Macaca mulatta: one gene and its partners. The protein of the gene in region 3 interacts with the protein of the main gene of each other region in a biochemical or structural test. Links are inferred from orthologs where the notes say so. Each region holds a gene or a part of one and is shown on either strand. Other genes may lie near its edges.

What was found.
Region 1: of the proteins of WNK1 (region 3) and KLHL3, one has a biochemical effect on the other in vitro, tested with the Homo sapiens proteins (2 studies listed by BioGRID). The link is inferred for Macaca mulatta from reciprocal best matches to the Homo sapiens genes WNK1 and KLHL3.
Region 2: of the proteins of WNK1 (region 3) and OXSR1, one has a biochemical effect on the other in vitro, tested with the Homo sapiens proteins (2 studies listed by BioGRID and IntAct, with this or other methods). The link is inferred for Macaca mulatta from reciprocal best matches to the Homo sapiens genes WNK1 and OXSR1.

Annotation. Positions count from the first base shown.
Region 1 is NC_133411.1:146,582,743-146,593,524, reverse strand, and holds the start of KLHL3 (kelch-like protein 3), read left to right. Parts: upstream 1-5,820; 5' UTR 5,821-6,056; coding exon 6,057-6,070; intron 6,071-10,782. UniProt on the Homo sapiens protein: Substrate-specific adapter of a BCR (BTB-CUL3-RBX1) E3 ubiquitin ligase complex that acts as a regulator of ion transport in the distal nephron.
Region 2 is NC_133407.1:100,417,542-100,428,236, reverse strand, and holds the start of OXSR1 (serine/threonine-protein kinase OSR1), read right to left. Parts: upstream 6,577-10,695; 5' UTR 6,492-6,576; coding exon 6,422-6,491; intron 1-6,421. UniProt on the Homo sapiens protein: Effector serine/threonine-protein kinase component of the WNK-SPAK/OSR1 kinase cascade, which is involved in various processes, such as ion transport, response to hypertonic stress and blood pressure.
Region 3 is NC_133416.1:1,530,963-1,541,570, forward strand, and holds the start of WNK1 (serine/threonine-protein kinase WNK1), read left to right. Parts: upstream 1-4,177; 5' UTR 4,178-4,576; coding exon 4,577-5,335; intron 5,336-10,608. UniProt on the Homo sapiens protein: Serine/threonine-protein kinase component of the WNK1-SPAK/OSR1 kinase cascade, which acts as a key regulator of blood pressure and regulatory volume increase by promoting ion influx.

The DNA of each region.
Region 1 (10,782 bases), on a different chromosome or scaffold from region 3:
AATTTTTTAAAATTCCTGTTCCTCAGGCTCTAATTCTATGGGTGTGAGGAAGAGCTGGACCCTGCAGTGTTTTTTCATTTTTCCAGATTTATTGAGGTATAATTTGCATAAAATAAACCCTTTTTAAGTATATAGTTTAATGAAATGCAGTACTTGTATACAGTTGTGCAGGTATTACCACAGTCAAGATACAGAACATTTCTATAACCCTAAAACTTTCTTCATGCCTATTGATCCGACACCTACCATTTTAACCAGCTGGGCAGATGTTTCTGATGCACAGCTAGGTGTGGGACCATTGTACTGTGTTATGGTGCCTGCCAATGTGAGGAACTGATGTCCTGGAGAAGGAGGGTAAAAGCGAGAAAAGAAAAAGGGCATTTACAAGGAAGAATGATTGGCTTAGCTGTCTTCAGATAAACTGTACTGGCTCCCTATACAGAGATAGAGTATGGAAGAGAGAACTTTCTAGATAAAACCCAGCTTAAAGAAGTTTCTCCTCCCAACATGGTTTCTTCCTAAGCCACATAAGAGCTGAATGATTCTAAACAAAGTTGGTGTAGATAACTGAATAAATTGGGGTAGAGATCTGGGGTCACTGGGGACTTTTGATAAGCTGTAGAAGAAGGCTGGGGTGTGGGAAGGACTAGGCTAAGATGGGGGTCCCCAGGTCACAACCGGTACTGGTCCGTGGCCTGTTAAGAACTGGAATGCACAGCAGGAGGTGAGCAGCCGGTAGGTGAGCATGACCACCTGACCTCTGTCTCCTGTTAGCTCAGCAGTGGCATTAGATTCACCTAGGAGCATGAATCCTATTGTGAACTGTGCATGCAAGGGATCTAGGTTGTGCACTCCTTGAAAAGCTATCTAATGCCTGATGATCTAAGGTGGAACAGTTTCATCCTGAAACCATCATCCTCCCTGACCCCCCACCCCCATCCTTGGAAAAGTTGCCTTCCATGAAACTGATCCCTGGTGCCAAAAAGGTTGGGGCCCGCTGGACTAAGACACTATTATTGCTGGGCAATCCGACGATGGTACCTTTTTCTCCAGACAGATACCACTTTCATTCTTTTGACTCTCCTCTACTGCAAGACTCCAACAGCAACTGTCCTTAATCTGAAGTCCAGTCAGGAAAATTAGCCTAGAGCAAACAGGTTCAGGCTGTGGTCCAGAGAACATTTGGATAATAAGGTAGAAAATGTAAAATGTATCTCTGAAACTGGAAAATATTGGGGGTAGGAACTTTGTGCTAGGAGTCTGGAGACTTTGCTTCCTGACTCAGCTCTGTCCCTGGTTTTGCTAGATAACCTTTCTTCCTTTTTTTTTTTAAATTTCAACTTTAATTTTAGATCAAGGGGTACATGTACAGGTTTGTTACATGGGTATCTTGCATGATGCTGAGGTTTGGGGTATGAATGATCCTGTCACCTAGGTAACGAGCATGGTACCCAGTAGCTTTTCAACTACCTTTTAAGGCTTGCTCCTTGTATTAGATGGTTATTGTGTTGCTATAAAGAAATACCCGAGGCTAGGTAATTTATAAAGAAAAGAGGTTTAATTGGCTCATGGCTCTGCAGGCTGTACAGGAAGCGTGCTGGCATCTGCTTCTGCGGAAGCCTCAGGAAGCTCACAATCATGGTGGAAGGCAAAGGGGGACCTGGTATATCACACGATGAGAGCAGAGGCAAGAGTGAGGAGGAGGGTGCCACACACTTTTAAACAACCAGATCTTGAATGAACTCAGAGTGGGAACTCACTCATTATTTTGGGGACAGCGTGAAACTATTATGAGTGATCTGCCCCTATGACCCAATTACCTCCCACTAGGCCCTATCTCCAACTCTAACACTGAGGATTACATTCCAGCATGAGATTTGGATCCTACCAACATCCAAATCATATCACCCCTTTTCCCTCCCTCCATCCTCTAGTAGTCCCCAGTATCTATTGTTCCCATCTTCATGTCCATATGTGCCCAGTGTTTAGCTCCCACTTATAAGTGAGGACATGTGACATTTGGTTTTCTGTTTCTGCATTAATTCACATAGAATAATGGCCTCTCACTGCTTTCATGTTGCCTCAAAGGACATGATTTTGTTCTTTTTTATGACCATGTAGTATTCCATGGCGTATATATACCACACATTCTTTATTGAGTCCACCATTGATGGGCACCTAACTTGATTTTTTGTCTTTGCTATTTTGAGTAGTGCTGTAATGAACATGCAAGTGTGTGTACCTTTTTAGTAGGATGGTTTATTTTCTTTTGAGCATATACATAGTAATGGGATTGCTGGGTCAAAAGGTGGTTCTATTTTTAGTTCTTTGAGAAATCTCCAGACTGCCTTCCATAGTAGCTGAACTAATTTACATTCACCAGCAGCGTATAAGCATTCCCTTTCCTCCACAGCCTTGGCAACATCTGTTATTTTTTGACTTTTTAGTAACAGTCATTTTGACGGGTGTGAGATGAGATGGTATCTCATTGTGGTTTTGATTTGCATTTCTCTGGTGAGTAGTGATGACGAGCATTTTTTCATATTTGTTGGCTGTTTGTATGTCTTCTTTTGAGAAACGTCTGTTCATGTCCATTGCCCACTTTTCAAAATGGGTTTATATGTTTTTTGCTTGTTGAGTTAAATTCCTTATAGATTCTGCATATTAGACCTTTGTCAGATGCAGTTTATGAATGTTTTCTCCTATTCCGTACACTGTTTACTCTGTTGATAGTTTCTTTTGCTATACAGAAGCTCTTTAGTTTTATTAGGTCCTACTTGTCATTTTTGCTTTTGCTGCAATTGCTTTTGAGGACTTAGTTGTAACTTCTTTGCCAAGGTCAATGTCTAGAAGGGTATTTCCTAGGTTTTTTCCCTGGGATTTTAATAGTTTTAGGTCTTACATTTAATTGTTTACTGCATCTTGAGTTTATTTTATTTTATTTTATTTTTTGAGACAGAGTCTCACTCTGTCACCCAGGCTGGAGTACAGTGGTACAATCTCGGCTCACTGTAACCTCTGGGTTCAAATGATCCTTCTGCCTCAGGCTCCCAAGTAGCTGAGACTACAGGCACATGCCACCACACCTGACTAATTTTAGTATTTTTAGTAAAGATGGGGTTTTGCCAGGTTGGCCAGGCTGGTCTCAAACTCTTGACCTCAGGTGATCTGCCTGCCTTGGCCTCCCAAAGTGTCGGGATTACAGGCATGAGCCACTGCACCTGGCTGAGTTAATTTTTATATATGGTGATAGGGTCCAGTTTCATTCTTCTGCATATGGATAGCCAGTTATCCCAATATCATTTATTGAATAGGAAGTCCTTTCCCTATTGCTTATTTTTGTTGACTTTGTTGAAAATCAGTTGGTTGTAGGTGAACAGCTTTATTTCTGGGTTCTCTTTTCTGTTCCATTGGTCTATGTGTCTGTTTTTATACCAATACCATACTGATTTGGTTACTATAGCCTTGTAGTATAGTTTGAAGTCAGTTAATGTGGTGCCTCCAGCTTTGTTCTTTTTGCTTAAGATGAGCTTTCTTTTCTAAATGGCGTCTTCTGAGTATTCTCTATTCTGTCTACTTCCTGTGAATCGTGAGTGGTGAATAAAGTATGAAGGTGTAGTAGTATGGTTTTGACACATACATTATAATGATATCGGTTAGCATGGCAAAAGTGGGTTGCAGGGAAATTTTGTGGGTTTTGATATTGGCTCTTAATAGTTGTATTTTGAAACTTGAATACCCACAACCCTTACATATTTCCTTTTTGGATCTTTTTTCTTTCTGTCTGGTGTATTAGATGTGGCATTTCCCCACCTTCCTGTAAGGCGAATATGTAAACGTGGGTATGTGCAAAGGAGTCATCTCTTTCTTATGTCCCTTTTATGAATCACCCAGTTGTCTTCCTGGTGGATGTCTGAACTCTGGCATGGATTCCGAGATTCAATTTCCTTATTTGTGATGTTCAGTTTTTTGTGGTCCCTGTGATTGACCTCAAGAGGAAATATCTGGAGCAGGGCCACAAGGCTGATTAGAGGAGGAAGGGACATAGAGGGAACAAGATAGGAGGGGTATTGTTGTGAAAGGAAGAAGTGAAGATACAGCCCTGTGGGGTGTAAATGAAATTATCCAGGCCTCTTCTCACTTGAGAAAGAGTGAGTTTGAGTAATGGCCTCGTCTAAGAGAACACTGAGGTGCCAGGGGAGGTAATCTTTGAGAATAACCCTGTAGCCAGTTTGAGTTCAGGAGGCTATATAAAGTATTAGTTACTTTTACTTTCTGTCACCCCAGTGTTTCTCTCTTCCTTCTGTGGTTTTAGAGCTTTGTAGTAGTGAAGACATTTATCAGGTTAAAATGATAAGAATGATAGATTTACTAAGCGTCTCTTCATACTTTCACCTACATCATGTTATCCTCCTTGAAGCCCCCTACAAAACATTAGAGCCTAGTGTTTCTTCTTAAACAATCATACAGATTACTCTGAGAAGAAAAACAGACCATTTAAAACATTTTTAGAATCCTGTGATTTTGGAGCTGAAAGGGACTCTAAAGACTGTCTGGTCTTGACCCTATATTGTGAATGAGTAGCTGAGCATGAGGTCCAGAGTGTGGAGAACACTACTCAGGAAAGTCACTCACCCAGTGAGAGCTGGTGCAGATTCGGAAAAGCCCAGGAGTGTCTTGAGGGGTCCCAGAAGAGAGATGCTCATAGCTGATTTTTCTGAGGCATTAGGGTAGCTTCTGCACCACTTTTTGTGGCTAATTGCCCCAGTTACCTCTAAGCCTCTGTGGCTAGGATATACAGACTGGCCTCCTGCCTTCCACAAGATTATGTTTTAGTTTGGGAAAGAAGATTTATAAATAATGAATTAGCTAGGTGTGAGATGACAATACAGGACAGTATAGTTTGTAGCTATTTTGGTGGTGATTGGCTGTCATTGGTGTGATTCGGGAAGTTATGAAGACATGGGATTTTGACTAGCCTCCCAGAAAGACTAAAGGACTGGGATTGGAGAAGCCTTTCCAGGCAGGGAGAGTTAAATTAGTCTAAATAGAAGCTTAGCAGCTGGAGATTACAGGATGTGAAAGATCTTTGGCTGGATATGGGGGTTCAGTGGGAGACTTACTAGTTGGAGCCACAGCTTAAGTTAAATTCCAATATGACAGATTTTAGGAAGATATTTTAGGATTGTGCTAAGATATTTTAGTATTCATTGTGATAGCTTTACTGCAGTAGTCTTTGGCCTCTTGGAGTAAAATAGGGTTTGTTTCCGTTTCACCTATTTGTACTACCTCTCTTTTTCGACTAATTTTCCAATTTCTCTCTGTATTCTTTTAATTTCTCTCTGTGTTCTTCTCACTTCTGTCAGGTGCTTTTTCCTTAACTTCTCCCCATCTATCAGACACTCAGAGCTACTATAGAATTTGGGAGGAGGATTTGGAACATAAACTGTGACCTACAAGTGAATTTCCCCAGGTGGATGATAAACTCCACTGCAGGCCACAGAGGGGCCTCCTCATTCCAGCAATCTGGCCAGGCTGACAGACTCATAGCCTATGGGGGCAGGGGAGGGTGTAGGGGCCAGTATTTCTCGGGCTAGTGACGAACTGCCTGATTCTTTGCAGCCTAGACAGAGGAGGCAGGAGCCCCAGGGGCGGGCTAATCGCCTGGGCTGGGGATGCCTGGGCAGATGCAGAGGCAGCTGGAAAGGTGGCAGTGCACCTGGGTCGCTGGAGCTGCTGCCGTTCCTAGGAGACCAAGGAGCAGCAAGCCTGCGGGGGAGGGGGAGCAAGTGGGTTGCTGCTTTTAGCAGCTGAAAGGGCTGCAGGGAGCTCTGGGTAAGACATTTTCTGCTGCTGCTGCTTTTGCGGTAGAAGCTGCTGCGAGTAAGTCAGAGGAAGGAGGATTGAGAAGGGAGGAGGCTTCACTTGCAGCCATGCTGAATCACTGTTGCTGATCAGATCTCCCACTGGTCTGCTGGGAGAATCAAGAACAGAACTAGGATTCCCGGGTGCATGCACACAGTTCAGCGGCTACCACCCTGACTGGGCCTCACACAATGGAGGGTGAAAGGTATGTATGTATAAGTATGTGCTGTGTTGTGTGTGTATATAAGTAAATGTGTGCTTGCGGTACAGCCACCAGCTTTTGTGCTTGCATTGGCTAGGCAGGGTTGGAAAACCTGGCCACTGATGGATCTCAAAGGGCGGCAGAGCAAGAGCAGGAAAGCCGCTTTCCAAACCACCCATTCCAGGGCTTGAATCTCCAGAGATCTGGCTTCCGCAAAGGCAGGTCTGGGTTTGCTAGGCAGCGGAGCACCCTGAAAGAAGGGACTTCCTGGCTGGTGTTCGGGAATAGTTTCAGCACAGGCTGAATTAGATTGCCTTTCTCAGGCTGTTTCAAGGAGGCGTTTCCCTTTCCTGGCTACTTTCCCGGGGTGTTTTTTCTTTGGTGGGGGGTTTTTGATGTCATAGTGGGGCCGGCCTGACATAGTGTACTTGCATTTTCACGCAGGAGTGCTCGAATCTTCAGCAGGCATGCCATGCTGATGGCTGTGTGTGTGTGTGCGCGCAGGCACGCCGTGTATGCCTGTATACACACACATTCAGGGATGAAGGAGAGAAATCCAGTCAGATGACACTTGCTCTGAACTGAGTTTCATATTTGTATTGAAAAGTTTATGAGTTATACTGGAAGGTCTGTGCTTCCTCCATCAGGGATTTCTTTTGAAATACGAACCAGCAGAAAAGATTTCAAGTACTTTTGTTGAGCTGGATCTAACTAGCGAGGCAGTTAGATCCTGGCAGGCACACCCATCTAAATTTTTAAATTGTTATCTGAAGATCTGAATCTTTCATTGTGAAAGTACTCAGTGCAGTGCAGAGGTGACATTCCTCTGTCTATGAAGTAAAATATCTCTTGAGTGCCAACCTCTTCATTCTTTGGTCTGCAGTTGGTAGAGTACAGGGCTTGCCATTTTATCCGAGGAGAGAGCACTGCAGGGAGGGGTCCGGCCATGGCAGTGCACCACTGAGGGGAAGGCTGCTGCTCCAGGTTGCCAGTTTGATGCAGACAGTAACTATCTGGTTAACAATAATAGGCTCAACTAAGTCAACACTAGAGAATCTCTCAGTGAACACTTTCCTTTTCATGAGTTGTTGTGACTTCTGCGTCTCACGGGGCTCAATGATGCCATTGAACATCTCTAGACCCTATTAGAACTGGCATGATGGTTGAGTGTCATCTCATTCTTTTGTCCGTAGAGGCCCTGGGAATTGTGTTCTTGATGACTCCCACAGGAAGAGCCTGGGACTGACTGTGCTGCTGGTGCATCGTCTTTCTGGGTGCTCTTTGTAACAGGAGTTTAGTGTTGAACTGCATGTGGCCTGCTGGGCAGCAGAACATGTGAAGGCTTGTTTCCTAGGTGTGGGGCAGAGGTGAGCAGTGTCTTTGGTCCCCCAAACAGTGTTCCATTGGTCTGGTAGGTGGCAGAGAATGGGGCTGATGTGATGAAGGTTTAGAGATTCTGGGCCATGCCTATTTGCTTGATCTGTGGTGTAACTGGGGTTGAGAGATCAGTGTGAGACTACTAGCAGCGGATCAAATGGTTTGGGGCACTGTGTTCCCAGTTCTGTGTTCAGAAATGTAATGAGTCCCTGCCCCTGTCCTGGGGCCTCTCAGCTGGGATGGCTGATGTCTATGGCTTTAGAACACCAGGTTGCACATGTTCTTGTACTTTTCCTCTGCTGAAGGCAGATGGTAGACAAGAAATCCAAACCGAGCAGCTTCCAATGTTCACCAGGTCACCCAGGTCATACCTTTTGTTCCTGCCTCAAGCCCAGCTTACCATGCCAGGCATTCAAGTCTTCTGAACTCCAACTCCTGTTCCCATTCCCACTGCTCACTCATAAACCTACTAACAATTCTATTGATCTCTTTCATGATCACCCATCCTATACATTACTTCATCTAGCCTCATATCCTTAGCTCCCAGAGTTTCTTTTGCTGGATGTCTTTCCCTTCTAATTTTGCAAAAGTTATCTATCAAGGTTATTCTAAAATTCTACTTTATCTTGGAAACTCAGCTTTTCTAGTCCTGGCTGATGTTCTTCTGAATTCTAATCCCTCTAGTTTGCATCTCATAGTTGGACACTGAATAATAGGCCCATCAGATCTTTTAGTGCTTTTATTTCATATATCTTAGCAGTCCCCAAACTTGGAGACAGGTCCTCAAGGGCAAGGCTAGTACCTTGTACTTCTAAATACGCCCATTGACTACTGTGTGGGTACACAAATAGCAGGTGCTGAATAGTTATTAGCTGATTAACTAATAACCTTTGTGTGAGGCTCTGATAACTAAAAAGAAAGTTGGTGAGAGAAGAGACTGAAGCCTTTGGCCAATAGGTTCATCTTTGGATATCAGCCTTATTATCTTAGCACGGGTAACTGACTCCATGGAATGCTTTGAGGTAGGGGGGAGAACAGAGGGAAGTAGCCTTGTTTTGCAAGTTCCCTGGGAAATTGAGGTCCGGAGAAGCTGAGTGACTTGCCTAGGATCACATGTCCAACCTCCAGAGACTGGAGGGATCCTGAATCTGGTGCTTGTTCCACACTTAACCTGCTGAATCTTAATTGGGGCTGTTTTTAAGCATTACAAAATTTCAACCAAGAGATTGCTAATGAACAATTTTTTTTCTTTGCCACGAGGGTATGAAAATACTTTGTACCTTGAAAGGCTATTAATTAAAAGCATGGGCTTTGGAGTAACTTAGACCTAGTGGTGAATCTACTTTACAGTGTGACCTTGAGTGTGTCACACTCTTTTCAGAACTAATTTTTCTCTTTTGTGTAAAGGAAATAATAACAGTACTTATACTTCATAGAGCTGTTGTGAAGATTAAATGATACAATATGTGTAAGGTACCTAGTAAAGTTTTTTAGGCACTGAGTGAGTACTCAGGAGATGGTAGTTGCTATTATCATTGGTATCCACCTATTGCTATGTTGTAGCCTATACCTCGCTGCTGGGTTACTAACCAAGGCATATTTTAGGACCTCTCTCTGTTTATCATCCAAAGCAGATTAAGTAGAACCATTTCCATGAGGAAATGAGGGAGCTTATCAGGCCATCATCTTGCTTCTTACCTAAAACTATCTCCGTATAGTAAGTTCCCCCATAGGGCTTGGCATTTCTTCTTTTAGGTTTCATCAAGATCTACCTTAATCTTTCTTTTTATAGACAACCTGTGGCATCTAGTTGCCTCAGTGATTTGGAACCATGGGCTGGATACATGTTTGTTCAGGCCAAAATCTCAAGAAGAACTTGTGAATTTGCACTAACCTTTGCTGTATCTTTCTAGATTTCCAGGTCTCTCCTGGAACTTATGATACTGAGTCTTCCCCAGTTCCCTCTGTGGGAGAATCACTGTGGCTTGACCAGTCAGACGAAGGTGATTTTGTCTTCTCTTTTGCAAAGGGAAAGGGTCTCTGGCTGTTAGCTATTACAATGATAAATTGTGTCCATGTGAGTGGGTATGTAGAGAAGATAGGTATCACAAATGGCAGTTGTCCTTGCAATTGGGATTTTATTTCAGTTCTGGAAATCAGCCTTGTGGATAGCTTAAAATAAAATTTCAAAATAAATGGTTAGTCAGATTCATAGAGACAGAAAGTAAAATGGTTGCCAGGGGCTGGAGGGAGGGAGGAGTGGGGAAGTTATTGTTTAATGGATAGAGAATTTCAGTTTGGGAAGATGAAAGAATCCTGGAGATGGATGGTGGTGATGGTTGTACAACAGTACGACTGTACTTAAAAATGGTTAAAATTATAAATTTTATATTACATCTATTTTACCACAATAAAAAAAACATTGAGGCCCAGACTGTGGCAGATCTGCAAGAGTTACAGAGCAGCACAACTTTGGAAGAAGCATCATAAAAAGGGGAAGTTAATTGTCTATTTTTCTTAAAATCATGATTATTTTCTTCATCAGAAGCACAGCGATGCCCCTGCTTGAGACGGGCATCATGTACCGGGCACTGTGCTGTGATTTTGTGTGAGGTGTCCTCAGAGGATAGTTCTTACTGACTGGTTTTTACGAAGGAGAGCCTGTTCCTGGACCTCAGGGAACTTCTGATCCAAAGGAGCTCATCTATTTACCTTTGATCCAGGAACGACAGATAGAGAATATTTTCTGAGGAGACAAGACTTTGAAAGCCAGTATACTTTAAATGTTGAGTTTTCTAATGTCAGGTTAAATGCTGGCAAGACCCAGGGAAGAGCAAGTGTTGAGCAACCTCGCCTTTTTTCTGTTCCCAGTGGCAAGTCACTTAGTCCTCCCCGAACCTTAGAAGTCAGGGATAGAAAATTCTGTAAAAAGTTTTGGGCATCACTGCTGCCTGAAGCAGATGTGCATGCATTTCAACCATGATAATTGAAACCAAATTTTTCCATTTTGGAAATACTTTTTGGCAAAGTAAAGTTTTCAACTGCAAAAACAAAGTCAGGGAAAGAAACCTCTTGATTTCCCTGCACCCAGATTTGGATTTTTAGGATTTTGCTTGCTAAGTTTTGAATTGGTAAGACAGATCTGGACAAGATAATTTTTGTGTGAGTTTTCCTAAAAAGTGCTTTATTTGATGAAATTTGCCATCATCAAACTAACCTTTTTTTTTTTTTCATTTTCTGGATGAATGTTCAAACTAGGTTAAACGGAATAGAGCACTAATAAACCATGTAAAAAATAGATTGAACATGTGCTGGTAGGTTTTTTCGTTTTTTTGTTT
Region 2 (10,695 bases), on a different chromosome or scaffold from region 3:
AATAAGCATTAAAAACAGATTCAAAATATTGTAAGTGTTACAAGATTTCACATCACATAGGATTTCATATTTCATGGCAATACCAAAAGTTGGGAAATACGAGGACAAAGAGAAAGGGTAAAAAAAGGTCAGAGATAATAACAACTATCATTTTATACAAGCTAAACACTTCCCACAAATAATGACACTCAACCTATATAACAACCCCAATGACAGAGGTGCTATTCTCCCCAGTATACAAAAAGCTGACATGGAAACTAATTACATAATTTGTCTAAGATCACATAACTAGTAAGAGGCAATGCCAGGATTTGAATCTGGGTCAGTCTAACCCCAAAGCCCAAATTGTTACAGCTGCTTCAACACATGCCAAATACAGTATAACACATGCTCAGAAATTCTAATCTAAGACTAAGGGCTCAAAAATACTGAAATTCTAATCTAAGACTAAGGGCTCAAAAATACTGAAATTCTAATCTAAGACTAAGGGCTCAAAAATACTGAAAGATCAATGATTAATTGTGAGAACGACACTAACATCTTTTACACATAATCATACTTAAAGAACTTCAAATCTTGCCAAAGCATGCTTAAGGCGATACGATTCTTTTTAAAAAAAAAAAAAAAAAAAAAAAGCCCTTTGAATTTTCAGTCTATAGGCTTTTAATGTGTTCCTAGGAGGAGATTCTGTTCTCTGTAGGACTTTACCAGACAGACGAAGAACAAAACAGAATGTGAGAAACAATCCCATAAATAGTATAGTGCTAAGAAGCAAATGTGAAAAAAATTACAGTTCAAATAAACATATTACAGTTCAAATAAATGTACGTGTTTTGATGGAGATGACACCATTACACTGATTACTCTAGAAAAAAATCCTTTGAAAACAAAATTTAAATGATCCCAAAACCTTTTTTCTAGATTTTAATCATTTGTTTCCTGAAAAAGTTGAGTGTAACCTGAAATCGCAAAGATTCATTTTGAAGACCACAGCTTATTACAAATTACTATGTACCAAACTTTTTGGTATGGAAGCAAAGTTAGAATAAGAATACAACGCTTTACTGAAACTTGCTGCTTGTACTAGGCTGTAGATCAAGGAAAAAAATTTTTTTCTCCCTGTTGGGAAAATGGAGAGAGGCTGTAAGGAGTAGACTGGAGGGATGTGACAGGTGTGGAATATCTATCAGATTTTTTTCACTCTAAGGATAGATACTTCCCTTGGCCAGGCACAGTGCTTCATACCTGTAAATCCCAACACTTTAGGAGGCTAAGGTGGGAGGATCGCTTGAGCCCAGAAGTAGAGACCAGCCTGGACAACATATGAGACCCTGTCTCTACAAAAAATAAAACTATGAGGTGGGCATGGTGGCACGTGCTTGTAGTCCAGCTACTAGGGAGGCCAAGGTAAGAGGATCACTCAAGCCAGGAGTTCGTACAGTGAGACAGTGAGCTGTGATCGCATTCCAGCCTGGGTGACAGAGTGAGACACTGTCTCAAAAAAAAAAGCAGGGGAGATATTCCCCTTAATCTGTGAGACAATGTCCCCCATCTTCCAGTTTATATCCAAGAACCAATGTAGATACAGGAACAAGGATCTTGAATTAGGCTACAGGAGACATAGATGCCAGTATTGGCTCTGCCTCTAATTAGCTATATGGCTTTAGGCAGTTATTTTACCTTTCTGTCTCTGTGTCTTCAACTGTAAAACAGTTGTAGATGGTTGTAGTAAGGTGGTTCACCTTTCTTCACACCATACACAAAAATTAACTCAATATGTTTCAGAGGCTTAAATGCAAGAGCTAAAACTAACACTTAAAAGAAACCATAGGATAAAAAAATCTTCACAATGCTGGGTTAGTAAAGATTTCTTAGATATAACACCAAAGGCAAAATAAATAAAAGAAAAAAAGTGATAAACATCAAAATTCAAAACTTTTGTACTTTAAAAGACACCATTAAGTAAATGAAAGAGGTCAAGCACGGGGGCTCACACCTGTAACCCCAACACTTTGGGAGGCTAAAAATACAAAAAATTAGCTGGGTGTGGTGGCACACACGTGTAATCCCACCTACTCGGGAGGCTGAGACAGGAGAATTGCTTGAACCCAGGAAGCAGAGGTTGCAGTGAGCTAAGATCATGGCACTACACTCCAGCCTGGGCGACAGAGCAAGACTGCAACTCAAAAAAAAAAAAAAAAGTTAAAATTAAAGAAGGCTAGGCACAGTGGCTCATGCCTGTAATCCCAGCACTTTGGAAGGCTGAGGCAGGCGGATCGCTTGAGCCCAGGAATTTGAGATCATCCTGGGAAATGTGGCGAAACTCGGTCTCTACAAAAAACACAAAAATTAGCCAAACGTGGCGGCGTGCACCTGTAGTCCCATCTACCAGGGAGGCAGGGGTGGGAGGATCATTTGAGCCCAGGAGGTGGAGGTTGCAGTGAATTTGAGATCATCCTGGGAAATGTGGCGAAACTCGGTGTCTACAAAAGACACAAAAATTAGCCAAACATGGTGTCGTGCATCTGTAGTGCCAGCTACCAGGGAGGCAGGGATGGGAGGATCACTTGAGGCCAGGAGGTGGAGGCTGTAGTGAGCCCTGATCATGCCACTGCACTCCACCTTAGGTGACAGAGTAAGACTCAAAAAAAAAAAAAAGGAAATGAAAAGAAAAAAAAAAACTACAGATGGGAAAATATTTAAATTAAATCATATATCAGATGAAGGACACATACCCAAAATGAATACACATACCCACACTTCTATAACTCAAAAAAAAAAAAAAAAAAAAAACCAGCCAGGCACAGTGGCTCACCCCTGTAATCCCAGCACTTTGGGAGGCCAAGGCAGGTGGATCACCAGAGGTCAGGAGTTTGAGATCAGCCTGCCCAACATGGTGAAACCCCATCGCTACTAAAAACACAAAAATTAGCTGGGCATGGTGGCGAGCACCTATAATCCCAGCTACTCAGGAGGCTGAGACAGGAGAATTGCTTGAACCCAAGAGGTAGAAGTTGCAGTGAGCTGAGATCTCACCACTGTACTCCAGCCTGGGCAACAGAGCAAGACTCCATCTCAAAAAAAAAAAAAAGAGAAGAAAAAAGAAAACAACCCAATGGGCAGTCCAACTGGACAAAAGATTTGAACAGATATTTAACCAAAGAAGATCTATGAAAGCCTAATAAAATAAGCACATGAAAGGATGTTCATCATCATTAGTTATTAGGGCAATGCAAATCCAAACCACAATGAGATACCACTTCATAACCACTAGGGTGGTTACACGCAAAAAGACAACAAATGTAGAGAAATGAGAACTCTTATAATTACTAGTAGGAACATAATGGTACAGTTACTTTGAAAAACAGTTTGGCAGTTTCTTAAACAGTTAAATTTGTGATACAACCCAGCAATTCCACTCCTGGGTATACATCCAAGGAAAACGAAACATATTCATGGGATGACTTGATGTGAATACTCAAAGCAGCCTTATTCCAAACAGCCAAAAAGCAGAAACAATCCAATGCCCATTAACTGGTGTCCAATAAAAAGGAACCATGTACTACATGGCAGATGGATGAACCTCAAAAAGCATTATGGGAAGTAAAAGAAGCCAAACGCAAAGGACCACATATTATATGATTACATTTACATGAAATGTCCAGAAAGGGCAAATCTATAGAGACAGAAAGTATATTTTGCCTGGGGCTGGGGGTGGGAACAGGGAGTGACTGCAAATGGACATGAGGCATCTTTCTGGAATGATGGAAATGTTCTAAAATTGGATTGTGGTGATGACTGAACAATTATGTAAATTTACTAAAAGATTATTGAATTTTACATTTTAATCAGGTAAATCTTATGGTATATAAATTATATCTCAAATTTGTTTTTTTCAAATGAAAAAATATTTATGCTAAGTGAAAGAAACCAAACATGAAAGACCACATGTTATATGATCCCATTTATACAAATGTCCAAAAAAGGCAAGTCTATAGAGACAAAAAGTAGATTTATGGTTGCCTAAGGCTGGGGGTGGAAAAAGGAATTAACTGTAAGAAAGCACAAGAGATCTCATGGGGATGTTGGAAATACTCTAAAACTGGATTATCGTGAAGACAGTTGTACAACACAGGGAATTTACTAAAAATCACTAAACGTTCCACTTAAAATGGGTGAATTTTATATTAAATTATACCTCAGTAAAGCTGTTTTAAATCCATGAAAGATGGTCAAATCACACTGGAGTTCATAACCTTTTAAAAACCATGGACCACTTTGTGAATGTGAGGAACACTAACCCTATCCAGAAGACTGAGAGGCTACCTTTTGCCCACTCACAGACATCCTAAGGGTCTGAGGACACCAAATTAACAAATCACCAAATCTCTAGCGCCTTTGTAACTCTGAAATTCTTTGCCATCTTAACACCAAAGGCTTTGAGAATGACTACAACCACCCTCTTCACCCTAGAAAGATGGACACACTACCAGAAAAAAAATAAAAATAAAAACTCTTCTTTTAAAATGATGATAGGGAACCTCATCTTTACTTCTCTGACATCATTTTAGAATCTTCTATTTAATCCTTTCCTTCAATATGAAACTCTGACTGGCGGAACCAGAAGCAATCAGTTCAGACCGGGAACCAGCTGTCTTTAGAACCAACAAATACACGTCAAAGACCCAATAAATACGTAGCAAGCACACAGGCCCATGAAGTGGCTTAAGCAAAGATGTGATGTCTTTATTTAGTCCAGGTTTTTTTGTTTTGTTTTGTTTTTGTTTTTCCTACACAAACCAATACTGCTTTAAGCCCAGATTGTCTTACAACAAGAGGCAAGTAAAAAAAAAATTTTTTCACAAAGTTTTTTTAAAACCCACAGTGAAATAAACACCGACACTCCCAAGGCAGCTAAGAAGTCTTCAGTTGGTCTTTGTTATAAAACTAATTTTAGGGCAGGATGCTGGCAAAGTAGACAATTCTCCTTCCTCCAATACACAGGTGTCTGCTCATGTCAGTTTGATTGAGCCTGTATAGCTAAACCCACCCCCTTTTGATTTCCAAGGTCACTGGGTTATTGTTGTCCAACAAATACTCCCCTCATCCCCAGGCCCCAGCCTCCTCCCAATCCCTAGGCTTCTGTGAGAATTACAATCTGTTTGTGCAAGTTTTGGTCTCTGCCAACTGGGATTCCTGGACCCCCTTCAAATCTTTTCACACACCAGCCCAATTTATTGGATCACGTCAAGGCACTATTTGAGGGCCTCCAGTGATACATAAAATTCCAAAATCTGTAGCAAGGCTGAGAAGATCCCTAAGCTCTGGCTCCTCCCTTCCCTCTCTATCCTTGCCAGCCTTCCTTCAGGTCCTAAAACATACCAAGCTTTTCCCCTACTCAAGGCCACTGCATCTCCTCATCCCTCTGTAAGGAAAAATCTTCCTGAGGCTCTTAATCCTCACTTCTCATCCTTCAGGGCTCAATTGAAATGTCATCGCCTCAGAAAAAGAATTTTCCTTGAAATCACCCTAACTAGATCTCCAGGTTATTCTCTATCAGAACATCTTGTTTATCTCCTTCATGGCACTTGCCAAAACCTCTTCTTTTTAATTCCACCCCCCCCCCACCAAGGACGGAGTCTCGCTCTGTCGCTCAGGCTGGAGTGCTATGGTGCGATCTCGGCTCGCTGCAACCTCCGCCTCCAGGGTTTAAGGATTCTTCTGCCTCAGCCTCCCGGGTAGCTGGGACTACAGGCGAGCCCCACCACATCCAACTAATTTTTGTATTTTTAGTAGAGACGGGCTTTCACCATATTGGCCAGGCTGGTCTCAATCTCCTGACCTCGTGACCCGCACGCCTCGGCCTCCCAAAGTGCTGGGATTACAGGCGTGAGCCACCACGCCCGGCCCTTTTTAATTCTTTTTGTCTACTTATTTAATGTCTACCTCCTCGACTAGAAAGTCACTTGAAAGGAGTCAGAAGCTGGGTCTCTGTTGCTCAGCGTGGTTCCTGCAGCTTCACCTGGAGGATCCCCAGCTCGCCCCAGCACGGACCAGGAGGAAAAAACTAAAGCAGAAATCGATGGCTGTGCCCACAACTTCAAGATCCCATTTCTCACACAGCCTCGGTAAGGCCTGCCCCACACCTGCACTTTCTTTCTCTACAAGACACATGGGTCGCTCCTGTCCACACATCGGAGAATGCTGTACACAAATCTCTCCTGAGCCCCCTCAAGCCCCACCCCACGCCGCCTCACAGGCGCGCGCCTCAAAACCCCCTTCCCGTCTCACACGCGCTCGACACAAGCGTCCCACGAATTCCTGTGAGGGCTGCGCTCCCCGAGCTTCCGCGGATCCCCACGTTCCCGCGTCCCCCGCCGCCCAGCGCCGCGCCTTCCCCCTCCGCGGCGCCTGCTCTCACCGATCACCTCCTGCAGCTCGTAATCGTCCCTGTTGATGGACCAGGGCAGGGCGCTCGAGTCCTCGGACATGACGGCGGCAGCGGCTCGCGGTCCTCCCTCAAACTCGCTGACCTCGCTCGTCTCCTCGCCGCGCGTCTCCCCACCCCCAACAGCCGCCGCCGCGCCCCCACCAATCGTCTCGGAACAGCCACGGGTCGGACGGCGCCAGGGCGCGGGGTCACCGCGCGGCAGAGCGGCGGGGTCTCAGAGCTCCGGCAGACCTCGCCTCCTGCTCCTCCGCGTCCGGCACTGCCCGGCCCAGCCCACGTCCTGTCCTAGGCCTCCGCAGCAGCAGCGACAGAAGCTTTCCCTGGGCCCAGCCCCTCTGTCCCGCCCTCCACCCCAGCCCCACGCACGGGCCAAACTTTCCCTTCTCCCTCCACCTGCCGACACGCAGCGCGCTGACGTCACTGCGCTGGTCACGCCCCACCTCGGGCTCGCCTCCGGCCGCCATCTCCAGTGTGGCTGAATACAAAGTGAGCGAGCTAGAAACCCAAGAAGGTGGGAGTTGGCGGTGAAAGGGAAGAAATGTTTAGGTAGAGGTTCATCGAAGGCATCGAAAAGCCGTAGGAGAGCCTCAGGTAGCACAGAGGCAGTAGCCACACTAAGCATGGCGACCAAAGCGCAGCAAAGTAGAGGGGGCGGAGCCACTTCTAGCGCCTGGGGCACGTTGCTGGCTCCGTCGTCGCATTCATTGGTTTGTTTGAGAAGGAATCAGAAAAGCAATGGGTGTGGGTAGACGTCAGTCATAAGCTGGTCCCGCCTCCAGGCTCTTAGAGCGCTTCTCCGTGTTAGGGCTGCAGCCCTTCAAGAGCCCCATTACCCCGCTCGTCTTACCACTTCCTCTGGAGTGACGTCACGGCGTAACCGTCACACCCTCGAGACGTGCGAAAGCCTCCACGGGGTGTGGAGAAGCCCTGAGGGAGCGGCTGGGTGGGGTAGCCTTCGGGTGTGGACCACTGCCAACTAGGATAAAAGGCCTTGGGCCACCGGTCGGAGTGAAACTGGAAGTTTGCCTGGTGACATTTTTTTCAAGGCGGACGTTCTCTCTAAGGCATGCTGTGGCGCTGTCTCTCGCGGTTCCCTCCTGCATTGGGCGGGTTCTGTCCATTAGCAACTTTAGATCTGCAGCTCAAGCACCTGCCTTGAGGGCCTCGGAAGGCTTTTTCCCCCGGAACAGGGTTTGGGCTATTAAACAAGTCAGATCGACCCACAGATTTGGGGGTTGTCTCACGAGCCTTGGCTTTTGTCACCCCCACTGAACAGTTTTCTCAGTTTGACTACGTAGTGCTGTTGGAGAAATTAGCGAGCTGAAGACAACACGCTTGGTAAATTGGATTTTAAAAAATAAAGAGCATATAACAGGAATAGGGCTAGGTGCGAAACTGTTCTAGGTTGGACGCATTTCAGTCCAATGGCAGTTATTAAGGAAGAGACCTTAGGCCGGGTGCACTGGCTCATCCCAGCACTTTGGGAGGCCGAGGCGGGCGGATTACCTGAGGTCAGGAGTTCGAGACCATCCTGACCAACATGGTGAAACCCCGTCTCTACTAAAATACAAAAATTAGCCAGGCATGGTGGTACGCGCCTGTAATCCCAGCTACTAGGGAGACTGAGGCAGGAGAATCGCTTGAACCTGGGAGGCAGAGGTTGCAGTGACCCGAGAGCATGCCGCATGCCACTGCACTCCAGTAGCCGACAGACCGAGACTCCGTCTAAAAAAAAAAAGAAAGAAAAAAAAGGCTGGGTGCAGTGGCTCACGCCTGTAATCTCAGCACTTTGAGAAGCCGGGGGGTCGGGGCGGGGTTGGGGGGGGTGGGTGGATCACAAGGTCAGGGGTTCGAGACCAGCCTGGCCAATATGGTGAAACCCCGTCTCTACTAAAAAAATACAAAAAATTAGCCGGGCGTGGCAGCGCGGGACTATTCAGGAGGCTGACGCAGGAGAATGGCTTGAACCCAGGAAGCGGAAGTTGCAGTGAACGTTGATCGTGCCACTGCACTCCAGACTGGGCAACAGAGCCAGACTCCGTCTCCAAAAAAAAAAAAAAAAAAAAAAATCCTTTCCTGCAAGCCATTGGAAGTTCAGGGTTTTTTTTGTTTTGTTCTGTTTTTTTGTGGGAGACGGAGTCTTGCTCTGTTGCACAGGCTGGAGTGCAGTGGCATGATTTCGGCTCATTGCAACCTCCACATCCCATGTTCAAGTGATCCTCCTGCCTCAGCCTCCCCAGTAGCTGGGACTACAGGTGCGTGCCACCACGCCCAGCTAATTTTTGTATTTTTAGTAGAGACAGGGTTTCACCATATTGGCCAGGCTGGTCTCGAACTCCTGACCTTGTGATCCACCCACCTCGGCTTCTCAAAGTGCTGAGATTACAAGGGTGAGCCACCGCGCCCAGACTTTTTTTTTTTTTTTTTTTTTTGAGATGAAACCTCGGTCTGTCGCCCAAGCTAGAGTGCAGTGGTACTATCTCGGCTCACTGCAACCTCTGCCTCCCAGGTTCAAGCGATTCTCCTGCCTCAGCCTCCTGAGTAGCTGGGATTACAGGCGCCTGCCACCACGCCTGGCTAATTTTTGTATTTTTAGTAGAGGCGGGTTTCACCATGTTGGTCAGGCTGGGGAAGTTTAGGTCTTAAGCTTGAGCTACACCAATTCTCCTCTCCTTGCTGGGAGTCCTGCCTGTCTACTGCAGCAAAACCTGTGTGGCAATCTGGCGTTACTGCACTGGGCAAGTAGATCTTAGTTTGGTTCTAAAACACCTCCAAGGCCGGGCGCGGTGGCTCAAGCCTGTAATCCCAGCACTTTGGGAGGCCGAGACGGGCGGATCACGAGGTCAGGAGATTGAGACCATCCTGGCTAACACGGTGAAACCCCATCTCTACTAAAAAATACAAAAAACTAGCCGGGCGAGGTGGCGGGTGCCTGTAGTCCCAGCTACTCGGGAGGCTGAGGCAGGAGAATGGCGTAAACCCGGGAGGCGGAGCTTGCAGTGAGCTGAGATCCGGCCACTGCACTCCAGCCTGGACCACAAAGCGAGACTCCGTCTCAAAAATAAATAAATAAATAAATAAATAAAATAAAAAAATAAAACACCTCCAAGCACTGGAAGCTTTGTGTGAGCTCTGCTGTGGGAGGTCCAACTGACCATGAAACCAGTCAACTAGAAGCTACTAGTGGGTTTCCACCTAGTTGGTAGGATTGGAGAATGTTTCATGAAGAAGGAAGCGTTTGTACCAGACCTTGCAAAGTTAACATGATTTCAATAGATGCACATTTAGAGGATAGAATAGTCCAGGCCCAGCAAAGGTGCCACAGTTCCAGAAAGCATAGCACAGGCCTTGCTGTAAGTGGTTTCAGCCATTACTACTGACACTTTCTTTACCGTATGTTCTGCCTTTTTCTTTTTGCAGGGAGGAGAGGGATGGGATCAAATGTATCAGAAAGGAGCTAAATCTGATGGTATTAGCTTCAAAGTTTGCACCAATAGAAAGGTCTACAAATCAGAAATCCTTAACTTGGGGTTGTTAAGCTGTATGACCCATGGACATAATTCAGTTTTGTTTTTTGTTTTTCTCCCTGGCACAGTGGCTCAAACCTGTAATCCCAGCATTTTGGGAGGCCCAGGCAGGTGAATCACGTGAGGTCAGGAGTTCGAGACCAGCCTGGCCAACACGGTAAAATCCCATCTCTACTAAAAATACAAAAATTAGCCAGGCATGGTGGCTGGCGCCTGTAATCCCAGCTACTCAGGAGATTGAGGCAGGAGAATCGCTTGAACCAAGGAGGCAGAGGTTGTAGTGAGCCAAGATCATGCCACTGCACTCCAACCTCAGCAAAAGAGTGTGAGACTCCATCTCAAAAAAGAAATTATATATATATATATAATATATAAAAAATAGGTATAGAAATATAATAGGATATACTTCAGGGAGAGATTTTGGCAACCTTCCTCCTTTCTTCCCCTTCCCCAGTGAAAAGGAGCTGCTAATCTAACAGTGAAAATTCGAGATGTTAATTGGCCCATGTTCTTGGCAGGCAGGGTCACCAATGGATTTTGTTCTGCCTCCTCCACAAGCATAGCTTGATGGATTAGTTGAGCCAGAACCAGCTCTGCAGATCTGTTCATTTCATTTATCCTGTCTCCTTGATTTTCTCCATGTAGCCTGATAGAGGTTGGGATTCTGTGAGATTTTAATATGCAAGGAATTGGCAGCTCTTTGAGGTCAGAATCCAA
Region 3 (10,608 bases):
AGGTGTAAGCCACCATGGCATTTACTGCTTTCTAAATTATCTTTTCATATCCTCCTTTTCTATACAGTGGTTTGCCTTTTTCTCAGTGATTTAAGAGGTTTTTTTTTTTCCATATCTTTTGGATATTAATCTTTTGTTATACAGTCTCCAGAGTTTTTCTGGCAGCTTGTGTTTTGTTGAATAGATTATCAATTTTGATATTGTCAAATATTTTTCTTTGTGGCTCTTGGATTGTTCTTTGAAGCCCTTTAGTACCTTATGTTCTCCTATATTTAAAAAATTCTTTAGATTTTTTTTTTAAAGTTTAGTTATTCAATCTATGTGGAAATTAATTTTGTGAACAGTCTGAAGTAAACTGACCTCATTTATTTTTCAAATGAATAATTGTCCAAGCACTGTTTATTATTTCACCTTACTGACTTCAAATGCAATTTTCCTTATATATATATATGAACTTCCCATACATACATGAGACTGTTTCTGTACTCTCCTGTTTCATTGCCTATGCTTACCTCAATACCATACAGATTTAATTTTGTGGTTTTATAATATACTTTGATATAGGTAAAATCCCATCCCCTCTATTTCATTTATAATATAAAGTTCTTAAAAACTATTCTTCATTGTTTAGCTGCCTGATTTTCACTGCCTACTTCCAGATGACAGGGTTCCAGATGACAAAGAGGTAAAATAAAAATTACCCATAGGCAAGACAAAGGAGCATGGGAAAATGAGGGGAAGGAGACAAAGAAAAAAAGAGAAATGCTCTTAAGATGGGACAATTTTTTCCCCTACACTTCAAGAAGCAACTTTATGTATTAATATTATGCCACATTCAAAGTAAGGCAGATCTTGTGTGTTCAGGATATTTCAGTCACTGTCTAAATCAAAAGTGTCTCTTTCATTGCTAGCTAGTTACCAATGGCAGAAACCATGTAAACGAAAAATGTGAATGGATGGGAATAGAAAGAAACATGAATCAATCAATGTGAGAACATGAACAAGAACTAGAGAGAACAGAGAAATGGTGAGAGAGAATAACATACTTGTATCCTTGTGGAACCAAATGTCAGGAAGTCAAACCTCTGAGCTGAGTGCATTCATTGTATCCTGGTTTCTTTGTTACCTCTGTTTACAGTCACTTGATGTTTTATACGGAATACAGAGAGGTTGATTCTTTACTCGATAATTGAAACAACAGAGAAAGGAAAAGTACTATTAGGAATTATAGTAATGAGTAACAGAAAATATCATTTACTTGGAGATAGGTTGGTAAGCATTAAAAAGAACTGAGTGAGCCGGGATCAAGCCACTGGACTACAGCCTGGGTAACAGAATGAGACTCTCTCAAAAAAAAAAAAAAAAGTGAACAAAAAAGTGTTAGTAAAATATGCACACCAAACAACATAACCTTTAAATCTAATCATTGTACGTAACAAGATTATATTCAACTTAAAATTGTATCTGTTTTCATTGTAAAGCTAACATTACACAAGTGGGAAAAGCTGTCTCCTAGGCAAGTGTGGTTTTAAGTCAACAATTAATTAAATTACTTACAATGAATTTAGTTGTTCCTGGTTGAAAAGACATGTTGATAGGGCATGGTGATTATCAAGGGACTTGTGTCCAATGCAGTGTGGCCAAAGTTTCAGGGCTCAGTAAACAGGAACAGGCAATAATAAAATCCTTTAATAACCACTCACACAAAAATATCCTAATTTTTTTATGGTGCCAAAAGGGAACATTGTGATTTACTGATCTTCTTTTAACTTGCCAATTTGTAATTAGCTGCCTTATGTTTAAAATCAGACTATTTTTCCTCCTGAAGCAACAATTGGGCAAGTTTTATTTGACTCAAGAAGTATAATAAAAATGTATTTTACGGCCATTTCTTCCCTTGCTTACAGTAGGTTTACGGTTAGAAATACACTCTTAATTCCATTTACCATAATGAGATTATTTACCATTACCCGCAGCAAACGAATGAAAGATACATTTTCTAGAGCAATGGAACACTAATATTTTAGTACTCTAGTTGTCCCTACTGAATTGGCATTTTAAAATGTTCACAACCTGTCAGCTTCGTGAAACCTCACAATCATTGGCTTCAAACATTGTTGTAAACTCGAAAGGGTAGCTTGTGATAAACAACAACAAAAAGAGAAAGAAAACAGCATTAACCATTTTACGGATCAGATGAATTAACATGAACTGCACGGCAAGAATTCTGCAGGTGGAGCTCATCCGAGAACTGTGCTAAGGAACCTCCTGCCGAGTTCCTCGCTGGCTGCTCGCTCGCAGCGTGGTCCTCTGCCCGGGACGCGCGCTTCCGAGCTGGTTCCGCAGCGGGCGCCCAAGAGAGGCGGCCGCGCCCGGACGCTCTGATGCGGTTGCGTACGTTTTCCGCGCTTCCCGCTCTCCACCGGTTGGACCGAGGCTTTTAAACTGCCATCTGCTCCCGAGTCCGGCCTCCTACTCCGTCTGGTGCCCCCTGGTGCTCGTCCCCTCCGCATCTTGAGGAGCTGCGAGGAGCACAGGGGTCCAGGGAGACAAGGATGCTTTCAAGAAAAACATGCCATGGCGGCGAGCCGCAGGGCTCCACGTTTCCCGGGCCCAGGGCCCTGGTAGACGTTGCATGTGGACACTGAGGAGCTCTGGAGAAAGAGGGGGTGTTGTTTCACGGAGCCACCCAGCAGAAGAAAGGTGGAAAATAAGTTTCAACCAACTACAAAGGCAGAAGTCAGCCCAGCCCCCCAAGTGTGGCCAAAGACCCGTAGATCCGTAGACCTTATCTTTTCTTGAATCCACCGCTCCCCCAACCCCGCTTTTATTATCTTTCAGGCAAAGCCAAGAGGGAGTTCACTAGGATCCCCGATTTCAGTCAGGCAGCCCTTTTTTGAGAGCCGGAATATCCGTGTCGGGCGGGAGCTGAGAATGTGGCCTTAATTGTTGAGGGGAGGAGGATGGAAGATAATCCTCCCTGTCTCCTCCTCCAATCCATTTAATCAATATTAATTTCATGCACCATCTTCACAAAGTTTCTTTTCCCCTCCTCCGACTCAGAACTCAGGCTCCGGTTATCCGGCTTTACCCTTCCCCTCCACCCCCACAGCCCTGCAGTCACTCAACACTACTGCGGCTCTCTCCATTAAAGATGAACAACAGATCATTTTTCATTGCATGGCAACCCTAAGAGCTCTCTCGCTTAGCAGAGCATGATGGGAGTCTTTCCATCTCCCCCCCACCTTCCTCTTTTTTTTTTTTCCCTTCCTTCCCTTCTTCCACAATTAATCCCTAAATAATGATTTTCCTAAGCTCGCGCGGACTTCAGGATGGGGTTGAGCGACCCGCGATGACGCTCCCATCAGCCTTTCAGAAGGGACGGTTTCTAAAGAAAACTACAACTCCCACGAGGCATCAGGCTACAGCAACCGCGAGGCATCACGGAAGTCGTAGGCACTTTTCTCCTAGGTCCCGTTCATCTCCTCCAACCCGTAAACTATAAGTCCCAAGGTGCCTCGGGGCTGGCACGCCTGCGCAAAACCCCGGAGCGAGGTGGGGGGTGGGGCTGCCCCGGGCGGCGGGGGGCGGGATCCGAGCGGGCTGTGTGGAGGCTTCAGACTCCCGGCGCCATTTAGCGCAGAGAGTTTCCCGGGCGGACGCGGCTCCTCTCTCGGCCCCTCCGCACCCCCGTCTTCGGTGACAGAAGGCGCCTGGTGGGGGTGACTGCTCTTTTCTCTCCCTGTTCCCCCTCACCCAGTCCTCTAGGTCTCCTCTCCTCTTGCCTCAGAGAAGCAGCGGAGCTCGGGCCCCGCGGTGAGCGGCCCTCCCCTCCCCGCCGTTCCCTCCGCCGTCAGCCCCCGGCACCGGCCCGGGAGGAGGCGGGTTCGCCAGGCCCGGGGCGGGCGGGGAGGCCTCGGGGAAGGGGGGGCCCGCTCCTCAGGCGCCGAGGCTCCGAGGCTCCGGCCCTTCGCCCCGGGGCGATGGGCGACCAGTGAGGCCGGTCCCCATCGCGGGGGGCGCGTGTGGGAGGCGGCGGCCGCCGAGTGACCGGAGCCGGGCCGCGGCCTTCCTCGCTCGCCTCGGCCCCTCCCACTCCCTGCCCCGGGGCTGCCACCGCCCGGGCGTCGGACCTGGTCCCGTGCTCGCGGCGCCGCCGCCCTCTGGGCCTAGCCCGCCCGGCTCGGCGAGCGGGGCAGTGGGAGCCGCGTCCGCCGCATCCGCCTCGACTCGGTGCCGGCCCCGGGCCCTCCCCTCATGACTGCGGCGCCTCCGCTGCCGCCGCCCGCCCGGCCGCCGCTCGCCGCAGGATGGATGCGGACCGTGCGGCGCTAACCCCCGCGGCTCCGCTCCCGACTCGCCCGCCTTCGAGCCCTCCTCGCGAGCCGCAGCAGTCTCGGTGCCAGCGGCCCGCCTCGCCCTCGCTGCGGCTGGTCAGTGCTGAGTGAGGCGTCTCCGGGTCGGCGCGAACCCGCCCGGCCGCGGTGCCCTGCAGACCTCCGCGCGGGCGGCTCGGCCCTCACGCCCTTTCCATCCGCGACTCCGAGCCCGCTCGCCTCTCGCCAGCGAACCGACCATGTCTGGCGGCGCCGCGGAGAAGCAGAGCAGCACTCCCGGCTCCCTGTTCCTCTCGCCGCCGGCTCCTGTCCCCAAGAATGGCTCCAGCTCCGATTCCTCCGTGGGGGAGAAACTGGGGGCCGCGGCCGCCGACGCCGGGACCGGCAGGACTGAGGAGTACCGGCGCCGCCGCCACACGATGGACAAGGACAGCCGCGGGGCGGCCGCGACCACCACCACCACCGAGCACCGCTTCTTCCGCCGGAGTGTCATCTGCGACTCCAATGCCACTGCGTTGGAGCTCCCCGGCCTCCCTCTTGCCCTCCCCCAGCCCGGCATCCCCGCGGTTGTCCCGCAGAGTGCCCCACCGGAGCCCCACCGGGAAGAGACCGTGGCCGCCACCGCCGCTTCTCAGGTAGCCCAGCAGCCTCCAGCCGCTGCCGCCCCTGGGGAACAGGCCGTCGCGGGCCCTGCCCCCTCGACTGTCCCCAGCAGTACCAGCAAAGACCGCCCAGTGTCCCAGCCTAGCCTTGTGGGGAGCAAAGAGGAGCCGCCGCCAGCGAGAAGTGGCAGCGGCGGCGGCAGCGCCAAGGAGCCGCAGGAGGAACGGAGCCAGCAGCAGGATGATATCGAAGAGCTGGAGACCAAGGCCGTGGGAATGTCTAACGATGGCCGCTTTCTCAAGTTTGACATCGAAATCGGCAGAGGCTCCTTTAAGACGGTCTACAAAGGTCTGGACACTGAAACCACTGTGGAAGTCGCCTGGTGTGAACTGCAGGTAAAGCCCCACCTACTTCTTTATTTGAAGGTCCTCTGGATCCCAAATTTGGCTTGGCGAAGCCAGTTGATGAGTTCACCCTTCACTTGGCATTCTCTAACTGTTGGACTCCGAGTGGGAGGGGGAGGTCAACTTTTGAAAGGGGTTGAAATTAGGAGAATGTGGAGCATGTGCCTCGGTGTTGGGATAGGGTAAGAATTACTGGTAGCCAGAGGGATTTGCTACCGGGCAGGGGTGGTGAAGGTCATCTCAGTATAAACGAATTGTCTCCTGGTTTAGTGTCTGGCAAGGAACTTGGAATGAGGGGGGAAGTTGAAAGTACAGATGCTTCTTCCTCTGTGCGTTTCAGTCTCATCAGAGGCTCTGCAGTGATGAGCTGCCTCTGGGCGTAGAAGCGTGTTTCCATTCCTGAGATCAGGCTGTTCTTTTTAAATGAGAACGACCTTGTACTTCTGGATATATCTTACTTGATGGTTGCACAGGCATTTAGTATAAAATAAGTATTAAAAAAGACTCTTCTCTGCCCCTTTTGGATGAATGCCTTGGCAGTAGTGACGTGCAAATAAATGTTTGATGTTGTTCTACCTAATGATGCTTAAGCCTTACAGTAGCAGCATTGCTCTGACATTGTTCGTTAAACTAACGTCTTTCAGCCCATTCACTATACAGCGAATAGTACAGGAGCCCATGCAAAATTGTGTAAGTGCTTTGAGAGTTGTAATGTCATCATCATTATTTTAATCTTATAAAATATTTTTAAGCTAAACTTTCCCAAGAGTCCAAAGGAGTCTCAATACTTCCTTTTTTAACCTCTAGTGGTGTAAATAATGGTGTGTCATTCTGGTTGACTAGTACATTCTAGGTTTAAACAGCTGAGTTTGCGCTACTTGTTGCTTGACTAACTGAAGCAGCTTGCTTGAATGTTGCCCTGACTGGGCATAGGTGAACATAGGTTATTAGTAGGAGCAGGGTTATACTGAAGGAAAAAAGTCAGCCACATTATGCATACATAAAAAAATGTCATTAGACCAGCCTCATACAGGATATGAAAATAACTGAATGATCTTGGAACTTGTTTTATCCATGAACTAATATGTTAACATGTAACCCTTTGAATGTCAGGTTCCAAATAATTAAGGCCATATCAAATGTGAAATTAACACAGCATGTGGAAGTAAACTTAAAAACTAAGAAGTTATTTACAAACATAATCATTTCTTAACTTTTACAGTTAATGATGTAGAACTTCTAAAGTAGTGTGAAATTAAAAGTACTCATTAATTTTATAGTATTTTAGAATTGGAAAGGTGACAGATCTTAAAAAAAAAAACAACAACGAAAACTATTCCTTTTCGTCAGTCATACTCAAAAAACTTAGTCTGGGCCAGGCGCGGTGGCTCACGCCTGTAATTCCAGCACTTTGGGAAGCCAAGGCGGGTGGATCACGAGGTCAGGAGTTTGAGACCAGCCTGACCAACATAGCGAAACCCCGACTGTACTAAAAATACAAAAATTAGCCGGGTATGGTGGCACGCGCCTGTAATCCCAATACTTGGGAGGCTGAGGCAGGATAATAGCTTGAACCCGAGAGGCGGAGGTTGCAGTGAGTGGAGATCACACCATTGCACTGCAGCATGGTGACAGAGCGAGACTCTGTCTCAAAAACAAAAACAACTTATGTCTGATTCCTTTTGGTTTACAGGCAGAAATTTACAGAATTTACATTTCTTTCTTGTACTTTCGACGCCTATTGCTACTGATGCTGGAATTTTATTCTTCCATTATAGTTCTATATTTGAATAGGTGCTTTTTAACAATTTTTTTTTTCCTTAACCGGTTACCTTACTTTTTTGAGACTGGACCCAATTACTTGTTGAGCACTTTATGAATTAATTTTGTTAGTTTTAATTATTTCACTTCTGAGACTTTTCAGAATGTGATGTGTGTTTTCCCTTTATCACCTGGAATTTTCTGATACTTTATTATCTTGGAACTGATAATACAGTGAAAAAAACTTAATTTGTCTAATATCATGATACAAACTTTGTCTAAGCTTCTCAGGTTTTCTTAGAACTGGTAGCTTTTTGGATTTTTAATTATCTAGGCATGGGCATGACTAAACTAAAGAAAATCTTATATTGCATATTATTTTTGAGTCATTTCCGGATTTGGCTGCAGAACTAGATGAATCCTAGCTTATTAAGTGGTACCTGATTTAGAAACTTCCATGTCATTTGTCTGTGCCTCTATAATTTTTTGTTTTGATTTTGAAAAGATTATCCTATCTGAAAAATCCTTTATAGCAGCAGTTAGGAAGTATTTTTGGTTTTTTGACCAGGACAGTTGCACTATATGCCTAATAAAGTATTCACTGGGTCAGTGTTTGAACTTTTATCTTTGGAGCCAAATTAAAGGACAAGCCCAAGGGATTACTAAAGCGTTGGGAAGATAGAAACTTTTTCGCTAAATGTATCCTTTTAATATACACATATTTCTGAAGCAAGACAGGAGAATATTGTGTTAAGTTGTTGACTTAAAAATCTTAGTGTATTAAAACTGGAAGAAATCTTAGGTTATCCTGCCCATCTATTTATTTGACAAATAAGAAAAGTGAAATCATAGAGCAGGTAAATAACTTGATTAGGTAGATGAAGAACAAAAGCTAGTTAGGATCTAATAATTTGGGAGATGATAAAGTATTTGTAGTCCAGTAGATGGCTAATAAGTAATTTCAAATGAAGCAATATTGTTTTGGTGTGGAAGTGGCTGTTGGATTTCTGGAGGACCTGGTCCTATACCCATGGCAAATTTCAGGCTTCTGTTTTGGGTATTGATTTTCATCACTTCAAATTGAGATATAAATAGGCTTTCGTGGATGGGTGAATGTGGTATACAATTCAAGCTGTTTTCTGCCAAGCTTATTTTTTAGAATCATGTTATACTATGCACTGCTCTTTAGTAAAACAAGCATCAATTCTTTTCTTTTTTTTCCCCCCCCAAAAAAAAGAGACGGAGTCTTGGTCTATCTCCAGGCTAGAGTGCAGTGGCTCGATCTCAGCTCACTGCAACCTCCACCTCCTGGGTTCAAGCGATTCTCCTGCCTCAGCCTCCCAAGTAGCTGGGAATACAGGCGCCCACCACACCCAGCTAATTACAAGCATCAATTCTTAGTAAATAATACGTAGGTAATATTTTGACACCACAGGATCTTCAGTAATTACTGAGTTGTTTAAGATGCAGATTTCTTTACCTGGTTTTATTAGACAAGTAGTGCACCTTAATTTTAGTATTTGATTGTCTTGGTCAGAAAATACTACTGTTGGGCCTGACATTGATGCAGCCGGATGTGGTGGCTCATGCATGTAATCCCAGCACTTTGGGAGGCCAAGGTGGGCGGATCACATGGTCAGGCGTTCGAGACCAGCCTGGCCAACATGGTGAAACCCCATCTCTACTAAAAATACAAAAATTAGCTGGGCGTGATCCGTGCCCCTGTAATCCCAGCTACTCGGAAGGCTGAGGCAGGAGAATCGTTTGAACCCGGGAGGCGGAGGTTGAAGTGAGTCTAGATCGCGCCATTGCACTCCAACCTGGGCGAAAGGGCGAGACTCCGTTTCAAAAAAAAAAAAAAAGAAATAAATAAAACATTGATGCACAGATTTAAGAATGATTTATTTTAAGCGCCTTCCCCCCAAGTTGCCTTTGAAGAGTTCACATGATGCATTATATGTTGATGAGATTGTTTCCACATCTACCTGAAAAGGGAGCAAATCATATTTTTGTCGAAGCTTCAATATACTTAACTGCTTACTTTTCTTTGTCTTTTATTAAGACTATATGTCATCAGTATATGACATTAATATTTTGTGAAAAGTTTAGCAGTGTTACAGAAATGGGATGTGGTTCTGTGATTAAGAAACCATAATTTATTTCTTTGCTATAGTTCTTAAAATATCTCATTGAACTGAATCTCTCTATTTGAATGTTGGTGATTTTTTTCCCTCTTTTTAAATTTGTGCCACATTCCTTATTTTTTAGGATGAGAATCAGCATAACTTTCCATCTCAGGAAATAGTTTTTGGAGTTTGTTCTTAAATCCTCAAAGTCATTGATTAGGAGTATTGGCAAAATTTTTTCTCTTACCTTTTTTCTGACCCATGGTAACACAGTCTGAGAAGTAATCTACAAACCTGGGAAGAGGTTGTTTTTGTGTAAAACAAACTAGGAATCTATTGTTGCTTGGTGACAATTCATTTCTTGACATTCAAATTCATTTAAAATTCATCTTATTCCACCAGCAGCTTATCAAAGAAATTCAAAAAAATAAAAAATATATGTATATAAATATAAATAAAATACATCTTAGTTCGTCCCTATGGAAACATTCAATTAAAACTGGGCTCTCATTTTCAGAAATCATCCTAAACCTGTTATTTGGGTTTTCTGGTAGTTTTTACACTTTTTTAGATAAAGCTGTAAAAGCAGCAAGAGTAGCTATACTCAATTATCGTTTCTGAAAATATTTAGCATACTATGAAATAATTCATAATTAGTACACCTTTGCTATACCAGTTCTGTAAATTATGTTGATAATTTAAATTATATATTTAGTAACTTGTATTTTATTTGAGTTTTTTCTTTTGTTTGTTTGTTTTTTGAGACAAAGTCTCACTCTGTCGCCCAGGCTAGAGTACAGTGGCTCGATCTCGGCTCACTGCAACCTCCACCTCCCAGGTTCAAGTGATTCTCCTGCCTCAGCCTCCTGAGTAGCTAGGATTACAGGTGCCCGCCACCACGCCCGGCTAATTTTTGTATTTTTAGTAGAGACGGGGTTTCACCATGTTGGCCAGGCTGGTCTTGAACACCTGACCTCGTGATCTGCCCGCCTTGGCCTCCCAAAGCGCTGGGATTACAGGCTTGAGCCACTGTGCCCAGATGTTTTGTTTTGTTTTAAAACCTGGTCTGCAGGAATAGGTAAGACTTAGCGTGACCTCAGTTTATGTTTGAAGAGGCCATTTTTCTGCCTTGTAACATAGTAGTTAAGAACTAGATTGCCTGGATTCTATAAGCAAGTTTTGTGCTACAGTTTCCTGTCTGTAAAATGGGTGTAAAAAAGAGCACCCACTTTATAGAGTTGTGCTGATTAAATGAATGAACATATATTAAACATGTAGGACAGGGCCTGCCACATAAATATTAACTATGATGATGCAGCATCTTTTTTAGGATGTCCTTTTGAGGGAATCTGTGAAGATTTTGTTTGTTTATATTTA